Callithrix jacchus: one gene and its partners. The protein of the gene in region 3 interacts with the protein of the main gene of each other region in a pairwise test. Links are inferred from orthologs where the notes say so. Each region holds a gene or a part of one and is shown on either strand. Other genes may lie near its edges.

The links. The genes of interacting proteins can lie anywhere in the genome.
Region 1: the proteins of ABI3 (region 3) and EIF3H interact in binary tests that used the Homo sapiens proteins (3 or more experiments, as listed by UniProt). The two-hybrid records come from large-scale screens. The link is inferred for Callithrix jacchus from reciprocal best matches to the Homo sapiens genes ABI3 and EIF3H.
Region 2: the proteins of ABI3 (region 3) and HOMER3 interact in binary tests that used the Homo sapiens proteins (3 or more experiments, as listed by UniProt). The two-hybrid records come from large-scale screens. The link is inferred for Callithrix jacchus from reciprocal best matches to the Homo sapiens genes ABI3 and HOMER3.

Annotation. Positions count from the first base shown.
Region 1 is NC_133517.1:80,710,356-80,714,485, reverse strand, and holds part of EIF3H (eukaryotic translation initiation factor 3 subunit H), read right to left. Parts: intron 1,171-4,130; coding exon 1,014-1,170; intron 1-1,013.
Region 2 is NC_133523.1:17,623,483-17,627,612, reverse strand, and holds part of HOMER3 (homer protein homolog 3), read left to right. Parts: coding exon 1-21; intron 22-1,198; coding exon 1,199-1,320; intron 1,321-2,186; coding exon 2,187-2,343; intron 2,344-2,694; coding exon 2,695-2,811; intron 2,812-2,908; coding exon 2,909-2,995; intron 2,996-4,130. UniProt on the Homo sapiens protein: Postsynaptic density scaffolding protein. Binds and cross-links cytoplasmic regions of GRM1, GRM5, ITPR1, DNM3, RYR1, RYR2, SHANK1 and SHANK3.
Region 3 is NC_133506.1:117,093,852-117,098,489, forward strand, and holds the start of ABI3 (ABI gene family member 3), read right to left. Parts: upstream 3,073-4,638; 5' UTR 3,055-3,072; coding exon 2,938-3,054; intron 1-2,937. UniProt on the Homo sapiens protein: May inhibit tumor metastasis. In vitro, reduces cell motility.

The sequences.
Region 1 (4,130 bases), on a different chromosome or scaffold from region 3:
TGGGAGCAATCTAAACGTCCATTGACAGATGGCTGGATAAGGAAAATGTGGTATATACAGATAATGAAATATTATTCAGCCTTAAGAAAAAAGAAGGAAATCCTGTCATTACTACAACATGGATTAACTTTTAGGACATTAAACTAAATAAAATAAGCCACTCGCAAAACAAAAAATGCCACTATTCCACTAACGAGGTACCTGTCATCAGACTCTTGGAAACACAAAATAGAATGGTGGTTGCCAGGGGTGAAAGAAGTGGAAAAAGGGATTGTTCAATGGATACAGAGTTTTGAGTTTTGTAAGATGAAACAGTTCTAGAAAACTACAGCACAATATGCATATAGTTAACACTACTGTAAGATATACTTAACATTTTTATGTGCTTTTTACCACAATAAAAGGTTACATAGAAAATGAAACCTGCGAGTTCAAACAAGTGAGAAGTTATTTTAAACCTGATTTTAAAAAAATCTTGAAGATGCCGACCTTGGCCTTTGACGTGAGCTTTTAACTGCTGTCGGCCTTTGCTAACAAAGCAACCACGCCTGTAGTACAAAAATAAAATATTCCTAAAATGCTTGAGGAGTATCTTCTTTTTGAAGCAGAAAATTGAACTCTATCTCTTTGTAAACACTGACTTAGTCAAAAGAGGACAGAAGGGAATGAATACCAGACACACAGGGATCATCTATGTCCCTCAAAACTTTAGTTATTTGGCATGCTGACTTCAGATTGACAAACTGACAAAGTCAACATCAACACAGATCCTATCCAAACTATTACAAATCAGAATCATAAATTCCAAATAAGTAAAACCCAAACTAATGACATCTATAGTACATATCCTCATTTCCCAGAATTTATAATTTTCTCAAAATATTAGAAATCAAGTCAAGTAGGCTAGCCTGACATACTCCCAATTCATACATTACCAAAAGTTACAGTGAGAACTGTGTTAACATCCATTTGTATGCACTGCAAAGACACACACTAGTGATGAACACTCTTACCTTCATCAAAGTCAGCATCATCCTCTGTGTGCTGAGGGAAGGGAAAGCAGTTGGTAATTTCAAGCCGATCTTCTACAACCAGGCCCAAAAGCACTCCTTGAACAACTTCAGTTCCTTGTCCTTCTTCTTGATAATGTTTGATTATCTTTAATACCACCTAAAAACACACACACACAGAAGGGAGCTTAACAACATCCTACTTTATTATTTCCTTTATTTCTAAGAAAATAAATAAATCAACCGTACTCACAGGTTTGCAAAACCACAAAATTAAATAAGAAGAATAAATAAATGTCTTACAAATCATTTCCTTTACCCTTACATAAATAATAAAGCTCACATAATCTTAATATATATCTGAAATTCCAGGAGTTTGACTATATGTCAAAAATGTCCATGTACAGCACTTATGCTCTTAAATCAAAGCTCCCCCATAGTCTGGCATCTAGGAGTTCCTTCAGCCAAATCAAACAATACACCCTCAACCTAGAGCTATTATTGAAGAAGTGATCCTGTTAACAGAAAGACACATAAATGACAAAACCATTAAAAGATACAGAGATAAAGGTCTCAATTATCTGGACACCTGAAAGCAGAGCCTTCTGACAAATTCTCATTTTGCCTTTCTCAACAGACCATCTCCACAGTCAGAGGATGCAACAACGGGAATAGGTACCCACACATATCCAATAAGAATCTAGTTGGTAACAAAGAACACAAACAGAGCAGTCTCCAGCACGATCTAGTTTTTCTCAATCGGAAGGATTTGAGGGAATGTGTTCTCTTTCCGGGTCCATGACAGAGCATAATTTTAAGGGCAAAAACTTCCCAACGCCATGCCCCCCTCCCAACTCTCTCCATCCGGGAGTTTTAACGGTTTATGTTTGAATTTCACGGGCGTGGGAAGAAACCAAAAGTCAATCACTCCAGCGGAAGTTCTAACGAACTCCTTTCATTGGCCCAAGGTCTTAAGAGAAGGTGGTGGTTCCTCCCAGGATAAAAGTCCGTGTCCACACACTTGGCCAGATTTCCCCTCTGAAATCCCCTTCCACATTCTGCATGGAAGTCTTTCTCTTCTCCTTTCCTTCTCTTTTCTCTACCTAAATAAAATCACCTTTCTGAAACACTTCTTGGGTCCAACATTTACTTTTATGCGCATACAGCACACCTGCAGGGGTCCCATCACTTATTCTTTAAGGGATAGGAGGCCAAGAACCCACAGCATTCTCTTGGGGGAGCTGTGCCTCGCCAGCACCCAAAAAAAAACCCGGTTACAGATTCATTAAACAACCTCTAATGGAATACTCAGGTCTTATATAACTCTCTCCTTGAATATTCTCATAAAGATAAAAGAGGTAACACAGTGTATGGGTGGACAAGCAATTAAAGTCCATAATAAGAATCATCATCATTAATAATTTTGTGTGTTTTTTTAGGTGGTTCCTACAACATGGGGTTAATATATATAAAGTGCTTTTCATAGTGCCTGGCACATATTATTAAGAATAGTAACATTAATATTTAATATAAGCCCAAGGCCTGAAGACCTAAAAGGCAACACAGTCAAAATTATAATGGGAAGTTCACAGAGGGAAAATAAGTTTAACAAGAAAATGACAATTTATTTGTACGTTATTGATTAGTGCTTCATTTAAAACAAATATATTATTGTTAGAAACTAATTAATGGGTGGGCCAGGCAGACACAGGGCAGGCAGCTACTTCTGCCTGCAGACTGAGCCCACAGGTCAGCTCAGCCACAGGGGTGGCAAACAAACAGCCTAGGAGGGAATCAATGTGGTTGTCAGCTAAACCTGCTCCCACAAAAGTGGAAATGAAGCTAAAAAAGGCAGCAGGAAAGGATAAATCTTCAGACAAAAAAACGTGAACAAAGGGAAAAGCGGAGCAAGGGAAAAGAGGCCAACATGGCTAACGAGGAAACTAAAGAAATTTGCCTGCACAAAATGAAGAAACTAAAACTGAGAAGAGTCCAGCCTCTGATGAGACCAGAAAGAAATAAGCCAAGTTTGATTATGTCAGAATACACCATGTCTTATCGGTGGCCCCTATTTCCCTTCTTGTACAACCCAGAGGAATACTGTTATCAACTATTTTGTAAACACAAGTTTGTGTGAGATACTGAATTATGGGAGGGTTTCACTGTCTTGAGTATCAGCTTAACATTCCATAGTTGGGGGGTTAGCTTTTATATCCTACAATACAAAGCATACTAATCGGCAATATGGAGTTACAGTTCTGCATTTAATGTCTTGAACATTTTAAATTACTTTTATTCCCACATTATTTTTTAGTAGAATTATTTCCTAAAGAGAAACACTGTTTTTGATCATGGCTCTCTCCGTCATAATGGTTGTGCACTCTGTAACATTTTTGGTTGTGGTAGTCCTGTTTTTCTAATTAACTTTGTTAATGTGCTGTGGAAGATTGAAATTTTGAGTATGTAGTCTGTATGCTATTATATTGTGAATTGGTGGGATCTATGTAACAGCTTATCAACATGCGAAAGTACTGGTTCTTGATAATCTCTTCAGGAGAATTTGCTTTCCAATTTTAAGCTGGAATGTCACTAGAATAACTTTTTAAAAATTACAACACATGGCTTTTTAGATTTTCAGTACCTATGTTCAGAATTTTGTACAAATCAACACAACCAATAAATCAATTGTGAAAGAAAAAAAAGAAACTAATGACCAGTTAATAACACATTACTGAACATGACATGACAGTCAATAATCCAATTATTTCACAGGTGCTACCCTATCATGTAATTCTCACAACAACCTTAGGAAAAAGGTACTGTTATACTCATGTTATAGATAAGAAAACTGAGGTAGAAAGAAAGTAAGTAAATGGCTAAAGGCCACACATCTAGGAAGTGGTAGAGCTGAGCCAAGATTTAAGCCTAGGTGAGGTCCAAAGCTTGTGTGTATACTTTAATAACAAGATGATTCTCATATTAGCAACTAAATCAATAATTAAAATAATCAGTAATAGACAACAGGCATGCAGTAAAAACTGTGTTATGAATAGACCCAAGACTGCACCACTAAGATATGGAACTCCAAAGGAGTACAAGCAGCCAGCAGGGAAAAGAGCT
Region 2 (4,130 bases), on a different chromosome or scaffold from region 3:
CTGGGGCTCGCCTCCCACCAGGTCAGCACTCCCTGCCCCCCTATGCTTCCTGGGCACCTGTGAGTCAACCAGGCCCAGGATTGGGGGGACCTTGATATTAGGAGACCAGGCACTGTGCTAGTCCTCAAGACCCAATGCTCCCAGATGACCTAAAGTTAGACCCATGGCAGGGGCCATGGAGGAGGGGTGTGGAGCATGTCATGGAGGGTCTGGGCCTTGCCTGGGGTCGGCAGGGGGCACCCAGTAGGTCCCAGTAGCAAAACCAGCTCAGATGGCAGAATGGAAGACTAGAAATTGAAATAGCTAAGTGTGGCCAGGCGCAGTGGCTTATGCCTATAATCCCAGCAATTTTGGAGGCCAAGGTGGGAGGATCGCTTGAGTCCAGGAGTTTGAGACCAGCCTGGCCAACATGGTGAAACCCCATCTCTACTAACAAATACAAAAATTAGCCAGGCGTGTCGGCGTGCACCTGTAATCCCAGCTACTTGGGAGGCTGAGGCAGGAGAATTGCTTGAACCCAGGAAGTGGAGGTTGCAGTCAGCCCAGATCATGCCACTGTACTCCAGCCTGGTGACACAGTGTGACAGAAAGAAATGGCTAAGTGTGAGGCACAGCAATGAACTGGCCCTGTGTGTTTTCCCACATTAATTTATTCAGCATCATTTATTGAGCGCCTGCTGTGTACCAGGCCCAGGGCTGTGCACAGGGGTTGCAGAGATTTAGAAAAACAGGCTGAACTCTACCCTCAGAGCCAGCGGTCCAGGCTTTGGGGTGGCTCATGAAACACAAATTCAGCCTGGGCAGGGCTTCCTGCTGAAATCCTAAACGGGCCACAGGGAACAGAACAGGGAAGGGAACAGCATGGAGCTGTCCGATTGTCCCTCTCCCCTACCTTGGAGGTTCTAAGTATCTTGGTTTAGACTAACCTGCATCAGACTTGCTCCTAGGGGTGGTGAAACCCCAGGAAGGCAAGGCTGAGGGCATGGGCCTGGAACTCTCAGCCTAGGGGCCACAGGGAGCCATGGAGGGTGGGTGAGATGGGGAGGGACACATTCGGATCCGGTGCTGTGAAGGACCTGCTTAGGGTGCATAGGTCAGTTGGACCCCCTGATGTGACGACCCCGGTCACATCAGCCTTGATCCCAGCCACTGACAGAAGCTACTACTCATCGTGACCTGCTCTTTTCCCCGTGCACAGGTGCCCCCGAGTCCCCTCGTCAGTGCCAACGGCCCGGGTGAGGAGAAACTGTTCCGCAGTCAGAGCGCTGACGCCCCCGGCCCCACAGAGCGCGAGCGACTCAAGAAGATGCTGTCCGAGGGGTGAGGGGCGGGGCTTGGGGCGCGGCAGGGGACGGGGTGGGGATGCGGGACTTGGAGGCGGTTCTCGAAAGCCAAGGGAGTGCCAGGGACTGCGGGATCTAACTGTGGACCCAAGACCTGGGAAAGGGGAGGAGCTGATCCCGCTGCTGCTCCATCCAGAGCCGACCCCGCCCACGGCTTTGGCAGGCCGGTCTGTATTGAACCGGTCCCTGTCTCCTGGCTGATAACCTCGCCCCATCCATGCCTCTCGGGCTTAGGATAAACCTGGGGCGCCTCCCCACCCCGACCACGCCCCCCTTGGCTGACTCTCCTCAACCTCCCAACCCTCCTCTGCCATCCCGACAGTGTTACTGGGCGGACCCCATGTGCCCACTTCTTTGACCAGGTCCCTGACAAGACCCCGCCTCTTCGGGACTGCCCCATCCCCAAGCTTCGCACTATTTTGGCTGCGCTCCTAGCCCAGCCCAGTGTCGCCACGTCCCCAGCACACCGTGGCCCTGAGTCCATCCCCTGGCCCTACGCCACCCCACCCTTGGCCCTGCCCCCTACCCAGCATTGTCCTTGACACCACCCCCAGCCCAATCTCGCGCCTGGCCACGCACCAGCCCACACCACCCACCTCTGGCCCCGCCCCCTAGTGGAGCATCGCCACTGACTCCACCCCCAGGTCAGTGCCACCCCACCCTGGCCCTGCGCCCTAGTTCAACCTCACACCCTCTCCAAGCTTCGTCCTCACCCAAGCCCAGAGCCATCCCAACCCCTGGCCCCGATCCCAACCCCTGGCCCGATCCCAACCCCAGCATTGCCCTCTGACTGCCCCCGCTCTAGCCCCATGTCACCCCCTGCCGACCCTTGCGTTTCTGCAGCTCCGTGGGCGAGGTACAGTGGGAGGCCGAGTTCTTCGCGCTGCAGGACAGCAACAACAAGCTGGCAGGCGCCCTGCGGGAGGCCAACGCAGCCGCAGCCCAGTGGAGGCAGCAGCTGGAGGCTCAGCGTGCAGAGGCTGAGCGGCTGCGGCAGCGGGTAAGGGCACCCCCTCCCAAAGAGAGCCCCCCACCTGACCCGGGCAACTGTGGAGCCCACGCCTCTGCCAGTCCCATCTGCCCTGGGTGCATGGACTGGCCGGGTGACCTCAGCAGGTCACTGTCCCAGCCCCAGTTCCTTGCTCTGTAAAATGCGTGTGAGACAATGCCAACTTCAGAGGGTGATCAGACCCTAAAGTCCAAGCTACGTGAGTGGGGGAGGTGCCACCAACCAAGGGAGTTGGGTGCTCGGTCCTGGATGTGGCTGGACAGGAGGCAGAGTCCCTAGAGGTTGGGGGAGCAAGGGAGAGTGCAGGCAGGGGTGGTAGGGGCTGCTATTCCTGTCCCACAGGTGGCTGAGCTGGAGGCCCAGGCAGCTTCAGAGGTGACCCCAGCCAGTGAGAAGGAGGGGCCGGGCCAGGGCCAGTCACTGGAGCAGCTGGAAGCTCTGGTGCAAACCAAGGACCAGGTGAGCGCCAAGTATGGTTCCCGGGCCTCGTCCTCCCTCACCTCCAGAGGGAAAGCCAGGACCCCCAGAACAGACCCTGGGAACTCTTTTCCTCTAGGAGATCCAGACCCTGAAGAGTCAGACTGGGGGGCCCCGAGAAGCCCCAGAGGCTGCCGAGCGCGAGGAGACTCAGCAGAAGGTGCAGGTGTGTGTGGGCGCCAGGAGGTGGGGTGAAGGTGGGTGACCATCACCTCAACAGACAATTGGGACGATCTACCTAAGATGATAAAGTAGTATTGGGAGTCCCAGGCCCGCGCCAGGCCTGATGGCCGGCAGGCGCTGTGTGAACAGTGGGTTCAGCAGGCAATCTCGAGTCCCGGCTGCATTCCCACGCCAGACCCTGTCATTTCCTCCTGTTCTCAGCCGGAAATCACAGAGCCTGCACTGGAACCAGGTGTGGCTTGGCTTTTTTTGTTTTTTCTTCGAGATGGAGTCTCACTCTGTCGCCCAGGCTGGAGTGCAGTGGCGCAATCTTGGCTCACTGCAACCTCCACCTCCCAGGTTCAAGCGATTCTCCTAACTCAGCCTCCTCAGTAGCTGGGATTACAGGTGTGTGCTACCATGCCTGGCTAATTTTTTGTATTTTTAGTAGAGATGGGGTTTTACCATATCGGCCAGGCTAGTCTCAAACTCCTGACCTTGAGCAATCCACCCTCAGCCTCCCAAAGTGCTGGGATTACAGGAGTGAGCTGCCACGCCCAGCCTTGGCTTGGCTTTTGCTACAGGCTTTATCTGAGAAATGTTCAGGGGATACCTTTTTTTTTTTTTAATTTTGAGACAGGGCCTCACTGTGTTACTGGGGCCAGAGTACAGTGGCGCAATCTCAGCTCACTGCAACCTCCACTTCCTGGGCTCAAGCGATTCTCCTGCCTCAGCCTCCTGAGTAGCTGGGACTACAGGTGCCTGCCACCACATACAGCTAATATTTGTATTTTTAGTAGTGATGGGGTTTTACCATGTTGTTCAGGCTGGTCTTGAACTCCCGGCCTCAGGGGAGCCACCTGCGTCTGCCTCCCAAAGTGCTGGGATTATAGGCATGAGTCACTGTGCCCAGCCCAGGGGGCACTTCTTGTGAGCCCAACAAGTTGAGATGTTACAGGACCTGCTTCCCTTACACCTGTATTCCTAGCTACTTGGGAGGCTGGGGTGGGAGGACTGCTTGAACCTAGGAGTTGGAGGCTACAGTGAGCTAGGATTGTGCCACTGCACTCCAGCTTGGGCAACAGAACAAAACCCTGTCTCTTAGAAATGAGGGCAGAAGCCAGATCCCTGGGGGGGTT
Region 3 (4,638 bases):
CAGTCAGGCCTTATGTAACAGCAATTGTGAGATTCAGAAACTTCCTAGGCATTTGCCCAAAGAGCCTCAGAAAGGCCAGGAAAGGTATCAGGTTGTGTGTTCTAGTAGTTAGTGTTCTGCATGAAGGAAGCAGGAGTCTGGGGATCCCAGCCTGGGTCAGGGCTTCTGACGCCCTGCATATTTTTGCAAGGACAGCTTTTACTCCCTAGAACTGATTCTTATTATCCATCCTTCCAATGAATGATAATGATGACGATAGTCATGGTAAGAGCTGCCATTTATCTTGCTCTTCTGAAGGGGCAAACACTAGGCTAAATGCCTTGATACATTTTTACATTAAACCCATGGAGCCACCCCTGAAGGCAGGCATGAGAATCAGAGGAGAAACTTGCCACAGTTCCTGTAGTTGGTAGGTGGCAGAGCTGGAAATTGGACCTTGGTCTTTGTGACCCCAGACTGCACTGTGTGTGCAAATGAGAGCCCTGTGGAAGCTCTTTGAGGCATGCAGAAGTTATGGGAAGAATGGAAAGGGCTGCTTGGATCCTTGACCATAGAGGGAACATGCCTTTCTTTCTTTTTTTTTGAGACAGAGTCTCACTCTGTTGCCCAGGCTGGAGTGCAGTGGTGTGATCTTGGCTCACTGCAACCTCTGCCTCCTGGGTAGAGTAATTCTCATGCCTCAGCCTCCCACATAGCTGGGATTACAGGCGTGCACCACCACACCTGGTTATTTTTTCTCGTGTTTTTTTTGTTTGTTTGTTTGGTTTTGTTTTTTTAGTAGAGACAGGGTTTCACCATGTTGGCCAGGTTGGTCTTGAACTCCTGGCCTCAAGTGATCCACCCACCTCGGCCTCCCAAAGTGCTGGGAGTACAGGCGTGAGCCACCAAGCCCAGCGGGAACATGCCTTTCTATGCTAGAAGAATGCGCTGGTTTCCAAGCCTTGTTCTGCTTCATCTGCGGGTGGTCATTCAACATCCAAACAGATGGAAATGATACCCAGAGTAGCATTTTCAGTTAGTGGAATAGGGAATGGGCTTTGGATTCAGATTTCTGAGTTTGAATATGGGCTCTACCACTAGCTTGGAGACCTCTGGGAAAATGACTTCACCTTTGCAAACTTCAGCTTCCTCACTGTGAAGGGGAATGGTACTGACTTCACTAGGCTTGAGATGAGGATGAAGGGAGGCCAAGCTGGTAACATGTCTGGCCCAAAGGAAGGGTCCAGAGTGTTTTAACTGCTGTCATCACTGACTCTCTTTAATCTGCCATTTCCCATGAGTGCTTGTTCCTCATTTATTTCTTTTTTTCAACATTCTTATTATGCTAGGAGATCCCTGTGCCTGTTCTCATAGTTTGGTTAGTACATGTTAGGAAAATAAAGTTTTGCCCAAGGGGTAATAACATTAGCCTGCAGCAAGCAATTCAGGGAGCAGAGGAAATCTAAGCCAGAGAGTACAAATAAACTGTCTTAAAGTCATAAAGCAAGTCGGGAGGCAGAAAGATGGAGAGGAAAGAGCTTGGCATCAGAAGTCAGGGAGGCCCAAGTGTGGTGGCTCACATAGTAATCTTAGCACTTTGGGAGGCCAAGGTGGGCAGATCACTTGAGGCCAGGAGTTCAAGACCAGCCTGGGCTACATATGGAGACCCTGTCTCTAAAAAATAAAAAATAAAAAAAATTAGCCAGGCATGGTGCCATGTGCCTGTACACCCAGCTACTCAGCAGGCTGAAGTGGGAGGATTGCTTGAGCCCAGAAGTTCAAGGCTCCAATGAGCGATGATCATGCCACAGCACTCCAGCGTGGTTGACAGAGGAGACCCTGTCTCAAAAAAAAAAAAATCTGGCTGGGCGCAGTGGCTCAGTCCTGTAATCCCAGCACCACTCTGGGAAGCTGAGATGGGTGGATCACCTGAGCCTGACCAACATGGCGAAACCCTGTCTCTAGTAAAAATACAAAATTAGTTGGGCGTGGTGGTGCGTGTCTGTAATCTCAGCTACTCAGGAGGCTGAGGCAGGAGAATCTCTTGAACATGGAAGGCAGAGGTTGCCGTGAGCCAAAGTCACGCCATCGCACTCCAGCCTGGGCAACAAGAGCAAAACTCCAGCTCAAAAAACAAACAAACAAAGGAATGCCTGGCTCTGCTGTTTGGAGCTGTGTGGCCTTGGACAAGTCACTTCACCTCCCTGAGCTACTGTTTCCACATCTGTAAAATAGGAATTACATGCCTCACAAGGTAGTTGTACAGATTAATGAAATAACAGAAGTTATTTCCATCATGGCTAAGTTGCCTTGCTTTTCCTCCTTGAATCCAGGAATCCATGTTTTCAGCCCCAGGACAACCACACTATTTACAAACTGTTCTACAATGCCACCTCCCCATCTTCTGCTGGTAGCCTGCTCCCAGCAGTCATGTGGGCCATCCCCCTGCCTCTGCATGAGACCCCCTCTCTTTAGCCCAGCCTACTCTGCCTTATCCTCACTCTTCCTCAGATCTCAGGGAAAGCCTTTCCCTGGTCCATCTCAGTTTCACTGTGCTGTTTGGGAAGTTCTTCCGAAGCCTCTCCCAGAGCCAGCCTGGAAACAGAATGATCACCAGCATCTGTGTGAGGGCAGGGGCTTTGGGTCTCTGGACCAACCTGTGGGGGACTCAGAAGGATGAACCTGGGGTGAGGCCTGAGAACAGGATGGAATCTCACTGTCTGTCCCAGACATCTCTGAGGCTCTGAGAGCAAGAAGGGGCACAGTGGGGGCTTGGGTAGTATGGGGTCAGGGTTAAGTGTTTCGGTCTGGGATGAAGCTGAAGCCTGGAGTGGGAAGATATCTCAGCCAAGGCCCAGGACAAGCACTGTCAGGATGGCTCCCCAGGCCCAACCTGGGGCTGGGCTCAGGGTCCCTTCTCCAGGGCTGGGGTGTCAGGCCTGTGCCCGCTCTACCTACCTGCACATAGTTGTCCTCGCAGTAGTCAGCGACCCGCAGCAGGGCACTGTGGTTGCCCCGTAGAGCCTCCCGTCCCGTGGGGATCTCAAACTCCTGCAGCTGCTGCAGCTCCGCCATCACCCTCAACCTCTCTCTGGCTCCCCAGGGAGCCCGCTCGTTTTGAGCCTCACCCTGCCCTTGATTGGTTGCGCTGCCTTCCCTCCCTCTTACTGCTTTTGGTTTCCTCTGTGTGAGACCCAAACCTGCTTGCAAAGGGCAGGCACGCTCATTCCGGGACAAGAGGAAGTCAGTCCTGCTCCCTGAGCCTGCGCCTCTCTGTCCCCTGCCCAGAGGAAGGGGGAAGCCAGGGGCCCATTTGGGGGCCCAGCCCCCAGTCCCACCCAGCAGAGGAAGCGAGGGTCGGGGCAGCTGTGATTGCTCCCTGGTCCTGGAGAGGAAACTGGTCGGTGGGGGGATGGGGTGGGAGAGTGGGGAGGAAGGGGGCTGGCCTGCTATAGGGGGTGGAGGTGGATTTTCCACTTATGGAAGGCGGGAGGAAAGGGCAGAGGGTGGGGGCTTCCTTGGGAAGCTCAGGGATGAGTCACCAAGGGACAGGGGAGTGGAGGGTGGATAGGATATGGAGACCCGTCATACCGGAGAGGACTGTGGGGCGGCAGCACAACAAAAATAGAAAACGGCCAATGCGGCAGCAAGAGGAGTCAGGGTGGACACCGGGAAGACACGGCCAGAGGTTCCAGAGGGGTGTTAGCAAGCCTGCGAACGGTTGTGTGTGATGAAGAGCTGCCCTACATGCTCTGTGCTGATGAAGGCAGAACAAGATGAAATTGACCACGTGTAATCTGAGGAACTCAGATTAGACAACAGGAAGGACTTGGATTTGAGAAGTACCAGGTTCAAATTCCACATCAACTTGTTGGTTTTAGGAAGCAGCGGTGGACAGAGCAGTGAGCCTGCCTAGGAGGTATGGGCTGTAGTTCATGCATTAGCAGGACACTTGGACCAGACGACCTCCAGGATCCTGTCCTGATGTCAAACCCTTAGCTCTCCCAGCTGTGAGTGGGACTGGGTTCTGGAGCAGGGGAGTTAGGATGGCCACCCTTTTCTCTGCCCCTCCCACCATCAAGCCTGTCATCCTAGAGACAGGAGAATAAGAGGACCTCCCATTGACCATGTTGGTCTCTTAAATTCTGCTCCTCCGTTGGATCCTTTGTCACTGGGCAGGTGTCAAAGAGCAGTGTCAAAAACGAGGAGGCTCAAACACACAGAGCAGGAGCTCAGTGTTAAATGGCATAGCCCTTGGGTGGTCCTGGGGGTAGAGCAAGAAAAAAACCAGGATGTGGGCCCTGTGCTGGGGAACCCACACTCAGGGTTCAGAGGGAGGCGTGGCAGCAAAGAAGCTTGAACACAGGCGTTAGAGGTGGCCACTCTCCAAGTACTAAGTGGCACAGCATAGTGAGCAAGGACGTTTTTATTGAATAAGTGGATGAAAGTGAGCTAGGAGAACCTGTAAGGTGAAACTCTGGGGGTCCAATGGGCACATCGGGCGTCTTGGTTAGGGAGATTGGGGGCCGGTCTAGGACTTGCCGCAGGAGGAAGGACAGCCTCAGCGCATGCTCAGAGGTGGGGAGGGAAGGAGGAAAAAGCAGGCGAAGAGGGGCGGGTGAGGCTGCAGGGTAGGAGGCGGGGAAATAGAAGCGCTGG